Linked DNA regions of Lepisosteus oculatus. The protein of the gene in region 2 interacts with the protein of the main gene of each other region in a pairwise test. Links are inferred from orthologs where the notes say so. Each region holds a gene or a part of one and is shown on either strand. Other genes may lie near its edges.

The links.
Region 1: the proteins of atf4a (region 2) and cebpg interact in binary tests that used the Homo sapiens proteins (3 or more experiments, as listed by UniProt). The link is inferred for Lepisosteus oculatus from reciprocal best matches to the Homo sapiens genes ATF4 and CEBPG.
Region 3: the proteins of atf4a (region 2) and ddit3 interact in binary tests that used the Homo sapiens proteins (3 or more experiments, as listed by UniProt). The link is inferred for Lepisosteus oculatus from reciprocal best matches to the Homo sapiens genes ATF4 and DDIT3.

The regions. Positions count from the first base shown.
Region 1 is NC_090715.1:15,638,501-15,642,250, reverse strand, and holds the start of cebpg (CCAAT/enhancer-binding protein gamma), read left to right. Parts: upstream 1-1,128; 5' UTR 1,129-1,360; intron 1,361-1,366; exon of another isoform or gene 1,367-1,538; intron 1,539-2,560; exon of another isoform or gene 2,561-2,713; intron 2,714-3,750. UniProt on the Homo sapiens protein: Transcription factor that binds to the promoter and the enhancer regions of target genes. Binds to the enhancer element PRE-I (positive regulatory element-I) of the IL-4 gene. Binds to the promoter and the enhancer of the immunoglobulin heavy chain.
Region 2 is NC_090707.1:36,440,928-36,444,677, forward strand, and holds the start of atf4a (cyclic AMP-dependent transcription factor ATF-4), read right to left. Parts: upstream 2,426-3,750; 5' UTR 2,241-2,425; intron 1,043-2,240; 5' UTR 909-1,042; coding exon 638-908; intron 189-637; coding exon 1-188. UniProt on the Homo sapiens protein: Transcription factor that binds the cAMP response element (CRE) (consensus: 5'-GTGACGT[AC][AG]-3') and displays two biological functions, as regulator of metabolic and redox processes under normal cellular conditions, and as master transcription factor during integrated stress response (ISR).
Region 3 is NC_090696.1:18,056,920-18,060,669, forward strand, and holds the start of ddit3 (DNA damage-inducible transcript 3 protein), read left to right. Parts: upstream 1-1,144; 5' UTR 1,145-1,317; exon of another isoform or gene 1,318-2,615; intron 2,616-2,993; 5' UTR 2,994-3,045; intron 3,046-3,750. UniProt on the Homo sapiens protein: Multifunctional transcription factor in endoplasmic reticulum (ER) stress response. Plays an essential role in the response to a wide variety of cell stresses and induces cell cycle arrest and apoptosis in response to ER stress.

The DNA.
Region 1 (3,750 bases), on a different chromosome or scaffold from region 2:
AGAACTGAACCCAGGGCCCCAGCACTGCAAGGCAGCAATGCTAATAGCTGCACCACCATGCCATCTGTATGATACAAATCCCACTTCTTAATGAGTGACTTCACAGGGCTCAGGGATATACAGTGTTTTTGAATTCCTTATAGCTTTCTCCTGATTTGTGCTTTTCTACAACATCTCTGCAATATTTTGAGACCTCCTTGGTCTTCGTGGCTGAATCCTTGCATGAAATTCACTACCTGAATGGGACAGATGCATTTATGGTGAAGAATTATCATTGGACACAGAGCCCAATGAACTTCTTGTGTGGCAATGTGAAAGTAATTTTGGGCACCTGGTTAGAGCATATGGTTCGAATATTTCATGCAATCACGAGTTTTCCCTTTTCCTTAATATTTTTATTAACCCTTTTCCACTGAATTTTGTGTTGGAAGGTGTGGAATAGATTGTGTACATAAATACCGATATTCCAAAGTGTCATGACCGCTTGTTTTAAAGCGACAAAATGTAAAATCCGTGCGAAAAAAAGTTAAAACATCTGTACTCTTACTGTTTAAAGGGCATGCTGTTGCCGCACCTGCTATTTTGCTCGTTTAATCTGTACTATTCCCCTGTCCTGTAAAAAGAAAGCTACACTATGTTTAAACGTTACAGTTTCAGTTTTATTATTTTAAGAGACCTTCTCCGGAATCCGCGTCATCGTTCCATAATGTTCTCGAAACCCAAGGGTCAAAGATGGTATAAAAAAAACCCCAACAACACCCGTGTCTACATTTTAAACGATGAGGCGAGCTTTCAGCACCTCTCTGAGAACCAGACAAACAATAACCGAGTCTTATTTTCTTAACAGCCGGATTCCCAGAACTGAGACTTCCTTCAAATATCTCCCCTCCACCCTTCCAACTGAACATGCGTCTGAATCTAAACAGTGAAGGTACAGTATGGGCATTGTTCGGACGCACACGCTCCTTATTTGACCTGTGACTGGGAGCTTTCGCTGTTGACACCCTGCGCGTCTATGCGGAAGTTGCGCGCATATCCCGCAGCAGCGCCCTCCCCCCCGGCGCCGCGGCGGCCTCCCCGGATTGGCCGGCCGGGCTGCCGCTCAGCGGGCGCCTTGCGTCACCCCGGGCTGACGCGCCCCGGCCATTGGCTCAGCTGACAGATTCCCCTACACGGGGAGCTCGATTTCGCAATACTGACACCAGCTCCCGTACCACACCAAAACAGAAACAGGACCCCCCCTTACACACACGCACACACACTTTTTTTTTTGGTATCGAGGGGGGAAAAAAAAAAAAAGAGAAAATTAAAAGACTTCGAGCCTCGATTAAAGATTCGGGTGGACCGGCGAGCGCCCCAGGTAAGTGGCGAGAGAGGGTTATTTTCCCTGCCGACCAGGATTTCTGTTCTCGTTGTTTTCCTCTTGCGATCTAAGCAGCGAGCCCAGGCTTGTGGGCTGTCGACTCGCGGGTTCAGGGAGGACTACGCGGTCCAGGATCGGAGTTTTAACCAGGAACAGGCGTCTTACGATGACCTCGGTGGGTATATCGGTCTGTGGGGATGTCATGGCGGCGGGGTCGCGGCGGTTTTAGGCTCGTTTCGGGCTGTTAGGAGCGTTTGGAGCGAAGCTACCCGACGTGTTATTGAACAGTGGGCGGATCCATGCAGCTGGTACCCCCCCCCCCACACACACACACGCACCCGGCGAGTCATTTATTGTGATTAGTGTCTTTTTAAAAAAAGAAAAGACCCGTTTAAATGTAAAATTCGGCCGCGGGTCGGCGGAGCGAGAGCGAGAGTGAGGGGAGGGGGGGCGCGCGGAGCGCGGAGCGAGCTGCCCCGTGCCGGTGCTCTCTCGTGCGGCGGCGCGCGGAGTTTCCCTTTCCCTTCCCGAGGCTGCAGGGAGCGCGAGGGGAAGAGGCCGATGATGCAACCAGGAGCAACACGGCGGGTACGCGCGCTGATGTAATCCGGGCGACACACATGCACGCCGCACACGTGTTCACGTCGCCCGCTGGGGTTTATCTCCAGTCATCTCTGCCCTGCTGCCTGGCCCCTTTTAGTGTCTTCGAATAGCCAACAACAACACCTAAAACAGCGCCAGAATGTGTAGATGAGCGCTGGGGGTTTAAGGGCAGGCGGGGGAGCTGGGAGTCCAGATCCACGCTGAAGTGTTTTGCCTGTGGAGCCTTCTTCAGGTGTGTGTGTGTGTGTGTCTGTGTGTGTCTGTGTGTGTCTGTGGTGGTGGTGGGGGGGAGAGGCCACGTATTTCTTCTTCTCGTCCACGCAGTGGAGGAAGACTTCACAGCCGAAACATTTAACTTGTGTTCTTTTCAGCGTGGGATTTAACCTCGTCGCCACTTTACGGCAGCGCGAATGCGCAGGGCATCTTAAATGATGTACACACGACGCTAAGTCATCGTTTACGCATTCGCAGGCTGACATGAGTACCCAGCGATTGACTTGTATTTGGATATATATCCCCTTGATTAAACAAGACACGAGAATCGTCTGCACACAGTTTATGTTGTTTTCTAGGAAGAAACTGTGACCGGCTTACCTGAGCCTGCTTGTCGTGGGCAACACGATTTCTACATATCCAATACGTATTTCGTCCAGGGTTATAGAGAGATAACCCAAACTCCAAAGTTGACATTTGATTTATCTAAACTCGGCACCAGCTCCCCAGACTCGCGAGCGACGTCGAGTCTCTGCGCCGCGCGGTCATGTGACTTATGGGGTTTGGTCACATGGGATGCAGGTGAATTTGGGAACCCGGAAGTAGACGCGAAAGATGGAGGTGTTCCTCCTATATTTGCTTTTTTATATAGTTAATTGGTTGCCGATGGAGGGACCAAATAAAGTTAATGAAAACCCAGCGCAGACGTCTTAATTTGAGCTCGGATCCTGTTGCGTTACCCATCCATCCATTTTCTCATCGCTTCTCCCAGTACAGTGTCATCTGGGAGCCGGGGCCTGTCCAGGCAGACAAGGTGGGGTACCAGTCCATGGCAGGGCACACGCAACACTGTGGCCCCTTTCTCAGAGGCCAGTTGACCTACCAGTGTGTGGACTGTGAGAGAACCTGAGCACCAGGAGGAAACCCACATGAACCCGGGGAGAGAACATGCAGACTCCACACAGACAGCTCATCAGGCCCAGAACTGAATGCAGGGCCCCAGCGCTGCAAGGCAGCAGTACTGACCACTGCACCACTGTGCCTCCCAGTTACATTTAATTAGTGGGGGAACATCTTCATTATGTCACTGAGATTATATAAAGCTTTTTTAAGTTGCTACAGCGGGTTTGAATTCAACTGATATTAACAGCTTCTTGGAACAGACAGCCCTGCTAGCTGCACAGCGAAGGACCAAGTGCTGGGTAACCACCCAGAAACTGACACTCCCTATTCAATGTACAGGGCAAAGCTAGTGTGTAAAAAAAATGACACCTGAAGAAGGCTCCACGGCCGAAACGTTGTGTTTTCTTTCTTCTCTTTTCAGCAGGGAAGTAAACCTATTACTTGTTCCATGAAAATAAAGTACCACTTCTATGCCTGATGCAATTGATGGGATAATACTGGATGTGCTAACACGCTTTTTAGAGCAGCATTTCAAAACAGAAATCTCTTGGTGCCACTGTACTGGCAACTTTGCTTTCTCATATCTCGTGCTTTGACTCAATTGCAGAGACTTACGCAGTGGCTGCACAGCCTGAAACGACAGCAAAATGAACAAAAACTGTAAAAAT
Region 2 (3,750 bases):
CAGGGGGTCGGGGAGAGGGAGGGGGTCCAGGTCGAGGTCCAGGTCGTTCTCCAAGGAAGCGATGAGCTCCTCCGGTGAGCTGGGAGGGTCGTCCGACGCGCAGGAGCCCATCAGGGAATCCAGGTCGAACTCGCTCAGGTCAATCTTCTCCGCCATCCAATCCATGCCGGAGAAGGCATCCTCCGACTCTGCGGAGCAAGGGAGACGAAACACAGGGGGGATAAGCACTTCGGTTTTCATCGACTGGCGTGACTTTAAAAAAAGAGACAGCGCTGGGGATTTTTTAAAAAAATAAAAACCGCAGTTATTTCTAAACGTCCACAGGTGGATGTTGCGATCTGACCAGCATGCAAGCGTTTGCCCCAACCCCAAAAATCTTCAAAACAAGACCAAGCCTCCCACCCCTGGGGGGGAAGAAAAAAACGCCACCCACAAACCAGCTCACAACAGGAGAGGGCACCCCCTCATCCAAACGTCTGGATACAGATCTCTAGTGCTGAGGGAGCTCAGGAGATCAGGAGTCTAAGAACACGTTTGTATTGTAAGGTGCTTCGTACGGCAGACTCCGGTGCCGCCGGAGAAACCTCGGGACACAGCCGCGAGGAAAAGCGCGCAGGCCGGAGACGCAAAGCCTCACCTTTCCCGCTGCTCACAGCGGTGGCGTCCAGCAGCGTGCCAGTGGACAGCCAGTGGAGGCCCAGGTCATCATCAGCCTTGCCCAGAGAGGGGCAGCCGAAGAGAGAGGGGGAAGAGGGAGAGGAGGAGGGAGAGAGAGAGGCATCGGAGGGGGTCGAAGGCGCCCCCTCCAGAGGCTCTTCACCCAGGAGGGAGCCCAGGGAGTCAGCCGTCAGAAACGGCTGGTCCCACAGGGGCTCCTCCAGCCCCAGGCGGGCGCTCAGCGACAGCATGGCTGGTCAGCGCGGGGCAGAGCAACAAGGCGGGCAGAGAGAGGGGGGGCGCCGAGGGGTCTGCTGGTGACGGGGAGTCGAGCCGGTCTTCTGTGCTGTCGACTGCAGCAGTGCTGAGGGTTGCCTTGAGGGACCTGCAGGAGCAAGGGAGAGAGCGGTGAGGGGAAAAAAAAAGACGCCATCGAGGAAAACGATGTAGTGCGATTCACGGAAATTTACTAACGCCGAACAAAGCGAAGGGCCGCCTGTTGTGGGGCACATCCCCCCCCTCCATGTCTCCCCAATGTCCTCGAGCTTGCTCACAGTGACAGATCTTACTGGCTTCAGATTTAAACTGGTTCAAAGCTTTTGCAAGATCTGCTACTTCACATATTTGCAACCCAGAAAGTATTGGGGGGGGGGGGGTATGTGTTTTTAATCTCTGGGGTACAACTGAACAAAACCACCTTGTTGCCTTTCGTCTGATTTTGACGAAATCCCCCCCCTGGGTAATTACACTGTGGTACCCGTGTGTCCCTCTCCTGGTTCATTTTTCAGCATGACGCCCCAGCAACCCGCCGGGGAGGGGAGGAAAACCCCGCCCGCAAATGGAAACAAGCACACCAAATATGGGCATGGCCCGAGCGGGAGCCCCGCCCCTCTCGTCTTGTGACTCACGCCGCTGGCGCCCAGCCCGGCAGTTGCTACAGCAACCATTATTCCGGGAACCCGTGTGGGCGGGGCCAAAGATTCGGCGCCCTTCAATACCTCCCTCCCACAGAGAACAAGCTCCACTCGCTGTGGCGGATGAGCCGCAGACGTCGCCCTGCCCGTACAGAGGCATGCCTCTCCCACTCCCTAAAACAGACGCCATTTTCCTGGAGCTCCACTCCCTAGCGCTGGGGAAGTGCGGGGGACCAACGCCATTTTACTTGGCTGCCACGTTGCCAAAACCGATCGAATAGCGGGGACCGGCCGGAACGTGTCTAATTCATTCAACACGTCAAGCGAGCAGGAAAGACGAATGGACACGTTGTACGCTATCAACAAGGCAGAGCGCGTTTATAGGCCCATTTTAATGAGTTAAACGGGTCTCCCCCACTACAAATTCTACAGTAATCATTCGTCCATATGTTGATACTAAATGACCCCCATCTCCGAAATTATTGATGTTTAAACGTCATTACATTCTCCATACACCAGTCTTGGTTTACCCATTTAAAAAGAAATCGGATAACATAACCCGGACCTTCATTTTCAGGATCACCTCACTTAACACTGAAGTGGTTGCTTGGCAACCCACAACTACACTTCCGACCTCCGCGGGTGAAGCAGAACAAAACATATACTCACGCCATGTTTGCCAAATATAAAGCCAGTGCAATTCGCCGCTGCACTGCCGGGTTTGCCGCTGCTGGTTGGGCCGCTGCACGCCGTTATACTGCCATTGCTGTGGGGTGGGGAGCGGGGCCGCTCGTGTCACGGATCTGAAAACGACTCTCTTCTTCTTGTTCTTCAAGGGCAGAAATGTGGCAGTTCGTCATCCGCCTCCGCTTATATAGCCACCGCCACGGCCGTGTGTCCTTCCGAGGGCGACTCATCCTTGGGCGCTCGTATCAGTCCGCCACTCGTCCAATAGCGGAGCTCGGGCGCGCCGGGAAGTAGGGCGCTGGTGAAAACATTGGTCGGGCGCGACAGGCTCACGGCCGTGCTCATTCCACATGACAGTTTTAGAAGCCTTGAAGCGTGTGTGCTCGTAAACACACGCGGTTTTTTCTTTTAAAAAAGGAAAATCATGGAGGGCGTCGCGAGTTCACCTAAGATGAAGATAAACTTGAAAGGTTTAAATAGCAGTTTAGGTTCTCTGCCCCGCCCATTGAATGCAACCGACCTGGGTTGCCGTTTTTCTCATCGATTGTTCGTTCACACTGTTGGCGCTTTTTTTTTTTGTTAAATTCTGCTGTGTTTCTTCCGCTTTTTAATTTCAGAATGCATTTGAACATGATCCCGCGTCCCTTTCTTTTTAGCGCAAAAATGACGTCACGTATGACGTATGCGCGGGCATAGATACATCCGGCAGGACCATAACAAAGCCCGACACACGGAAACCCAAACAAACGGGGACTCCCGTTATTTTGCAATACAGTTAACGATGTCAATTATTGATAGTTTTGAAAATCGAACGTGGCGTATCGAAAGCTCAGCTTACGTCACAATCCTTAAGGCTGCTGGTGTCTTTGTCGGCACTACTTTCTACAATGGAAGACCCGGTCACGCAGCGCTGTAGAACAACTCCTAACGCTGATTGGCTCCCGCGGCGCCGTTCACGTGTACTCTTCCCTCTCATTGGATGAGCTGACAGGAGCGGATGAGCGGGGAGGTGTGAGTCAGTGGTTAAGGTTGACGCGGTCAGAAGGGGAAAAAAAAAATCGATAAATTGAGAGAGAGGGATTTTTTTTGTTGTTAATGACGAGAAGGGGCGGGAAAGCAATGTATTCATTAATACTACAAGATAATACTGACGTCATTTTTGAGAATTCTCTCAATTATATACTCCGGTAATAAGATTAAAAGACATAGCATTTTATTTTCATTTAAAAAAAGGATGTATTGAACATATTTAGAGGTCTGTATGTGTTATCTGCTCTAGAACACAGCTGCGTTATGAAAATACATTTCTCCACGTGTTTTAGGTGTAGTGGTACTTATTCCCCGCAATTAGTCCATGTTAATCCAAATACTGATAACAATAGGTCTTGTTTATATTTTAAAGTCTTTTTGATGTACTTCATACAGTTTTTGAGCGTTTTAAAATGTTTCCTGAGATGTCGTGATAAGGCGGATACAATTTCGTATCCGATAG
Region 3 (3,750 bases), on a different chromosome or scaffold from region 2:
TTTTGCGATCGTGTCTGCGGTCCTGCCCGAAGCTGCCATTTTCCCGGAACTTGGAGGGAGAGCTTCTCGAGCTACAGGCGGAAATGACTTTGCAAAAGTACTGGTTTCAAAAGTAAAGGTTAGCTGATTCATGGCCACGGGGGACAGTGATAGGCTATTTTTCAACTTTTTTTTTAACTATAAATACAAGCAATACAATAATAAACACAAAGCGTTATATTTTCTACCGGGTTACACTAAAAAACAAAATATAAATAATAGTACAGTAAAATAGCTTTTGCTCAGATTAGCGTTAATAAAAGTCAGTATATATTCAGGATACTTATCTGAAAACTTCAGAGTGCTATTGAAGTTCTGAGTTATGACCAACTTTTAAGCGCGCATTTAAGAAAGCCTGAAATTCATTATATACAACTCTTAAGAAACACTGCGATTGAGTAATGAACGAATTTTGTTGGATCAGGATTTTTTTCGGCGTGCGGGTATGTCTGAGAGCTAGTTATCATGGCGACTACTACGACATAAAATTCACAGGCAGGGAATGAGGCTGCTTTCGGAAGACCACTGTTAGTAAGGAAGAAATACTCCCGGTTTTAAAACTGCGAGGTTTCACGGTGCTGAGAGGGACTCTAAAATCAGCACTTTTCTGCTGGAGACCCCCCGTCCCCGAAAATGTTCTCCCCAAATCCTCATTCCCACTTGAAAAAAATGACGAAAACAAAAGTTCTCATTACCAGCCTACGAGTAAGTTACACGCAATGTGGTCTTAAAAGTTTTAAACGCCGTTCAGAGAACGGCACCAAATCAAAGTTTAACAGGTCGTCTGCCTGCTTCTCCTTGGAAACCGGTTGCCAACGATTGCATCATTTCACATGACTCCCACATGCCCCGGCGTTCGTCCTAGGCGTCTTCTGACTGCATCACAACTTCTTCGGCACACAAACTATACAGCCCGCGACAGCTAGCAAGGTTAACTAGGCCCGCCCCCTTCTTTGCCACACATCTTGGAGAGCTGAGCATCTTCGCCCTCTCATTGGATATCACTAAGCGAAAGTGCCCTCGAGCGCTGCGTGGAATGGACAGCAGACCTGTCAATCACAGCTTGACGCTAAGCAGTCAGACTAGACTGTCACCTCCCCTGTTGTCTCAAGTGGTTTGGTTGCTCCAAGTATATAAGCATCGCCGGGAGTTTCCGAAATTCACATTCAGTGACATTACTGAACAATGGTTAACATGAGCTATCATCACTCCACACCAGAAAATAAAAATTCTCCGAACCACAGACAGTCAAGAAAGCGAAATAATAAAAGAAAAAGGGTGAGTGTTTTTTTTTGTCTATTCTGAATTCCAAGAATTCCAAGAGCTTTTTCGCTCTTTTCTGGACACGCTGTGCTAACTTTAACTTATTCCCTAGCGGTGAGGGTTGAGGTTGTGGAAAAAATACAAGCAGGGACATGTTTTGGCAGAACTCCCATGTCCGTTTTAGGAAAACAGTTGTTATTCCCGTTTTAACATTACGAGGTTTTCCTTTTTGTGTTGTGTTTTTTTTTTAATGACAATGTTCTTTCGAATGTGGCGACTTATTGGTTTTTAAGATGTTCGATCTTGTCTTGAATGTGAGCGTTAAAAAAAAGTTATTCTATTTTTAGTTACCTTTTTTTCACGTCTATACCTGAATTACAACCTAGGAGCCAATTAATATTGAAATAATGTCAGTGTAATTCAAGCTTAATTTAATAAAACCTCACACTGTTTCAGTGTTTCGCTAACCAAGACGTCCGTATATCGAATGACTGGGACTGTCAGTTTATATATATATATAAGTTTAGGAAATCGATTAGGCTTCAAATGTTTTAATTCATGTGTGTTCATTCCGTACTGGTTTAGTACTACAAGTGAATTTGACTGTTAATTATGCTTCCCAGGAAGCGTGATCAAGAGCCTCAGACTGCCTTTGTGTGTCTGATTCCATTACGTAATACAACCACCCGCACTCGATGAACAAACAAGCCGAGGAAGAAAATCGTCCTATTGAGACAAGGTTTCATTAAAAAAAAAACATGCATACTAAACCATGTTTCTCCGATGCTAGCTGCGATAGTTTCTACTGCTTCCACTGCCTAGCGTCCAATATATTTTCTAACACCAGGAGTAGAACGCCGAGTTTACTGTTTCGGTGTGTACAGAACAATAATTACATAAATGCTAAACAGAGAGGAATTATTGTTGTGGTCGCTCTCCTCTGAACTGGTAACGGATTTGCCTCCGTGAGTTTGGATAGTGGAAACTAACTTGAGCCATGAGGGGAACAGTGTTTTTCTGTTCTTATCCGCGCTGAGTAAAGGTAATCAAGAAATAGCACCATGGAGACAAATAGAGCGCCATTTAATGACAAAGTGTATAGATTTTTAAGAAACGTTTCAACTGCGCTGGTTCACCTGTGTGTCGTTAACGAGCTCCTTCCACCTGTGCCCCGTGCTCGAGCGCCTCCTCGCCGCGGGGTTAAGCGAGGGATCAGCGCTGTAACCCAGACGACCGCACGGGGGCGCTCGCGAGCGACGCCGATGTTTGCATGGAAACCAGCGTGACCTAAATTTCACAGTGGATTTAGCCCGGTAGGAAATAAACAAGTCCCTTGTCCAGCCATGTTTATTTATTAAAAAAAAACAACATTTTAAAACGTCCCACCTGGAGTGAATAGTTATAAACGGCAACAATTTGAAGTGTCTGAAAATTTAATGTGACATAAAATATTAAATGTAACTTTGATGCAGATCGTTTTCTTGGTTATCATCTCAGCACATCACAGAATGCCTAAGCATGGGCGTGTTCCAATCAGTCCATTTTTATCTCGGATGCTGTCTGATATGTGTGACAGAAGCTGTGTAAAATGTGTGTCAGCCTGCCCAGCTGTAGGTTTTGATTCTGCTGTAGGGGGTATTCAGATTCTTCTGAGTACAAGATATTAACAAAAGATATTTGTTTTTCCCTAGATCGTCTCTGACACACCAACACCGCCGAATCATCGCCAGACTTGATTAAAAGGTGAATGGTGCTGTTGTTTTTTTAGGATAAGAAGCAAAGAGTTATGTTCTAGTACTTGTGAAGACTGGTGACAGTTACTTACCTTTGATAAACCCGTATAATTTTTTTTTTTTCCCCACTTACTGAGCTATATAAGGGAGTAAGAGATGAAGGTGTGCTATGAGTTTTGAAGCCGCTTGCAGTATCAAACTTTTAAAATTATAAACATTATACATTATAAATGGGGCATGTTTTCAAAGTGAATGTAAGCCAGCAGGCTGCGCTGTTTCTCAGTCTCAATGCCACCCCCATAAGTGCACCGCAGCTTGTCATATTATTACCTTATAACTTACACTTACACTTTTATATAGAGTTTTTCAGGACACTCCAGTCAAAGTGCTATACGGGTAATGGGAACTCGACTCCACCACCAGCAGTGTGCAGCCCCAACTGCACCAGTACACTCGCCACACACTAGCTATCGGTGGAGAGGAGAACAGAGTTGTACTATATTAAAACATCTCTGTTCGGACCGGAATTCGCAGACAAGAGGAGGTCATTCATCAGTTCTGTCCCGTTTGCTCATTGGTACTTGATTGATCCCAGGATCTCATCCAGCTGTTTCTTGAAAGAAGCCAGGCTATCGGCTTCAACAACATGGATGGTTGGCTTGTTTCACACTCCCACCACCCTTTGTGTAGAGAACTTCCTCCTGTTCTCAGTTTT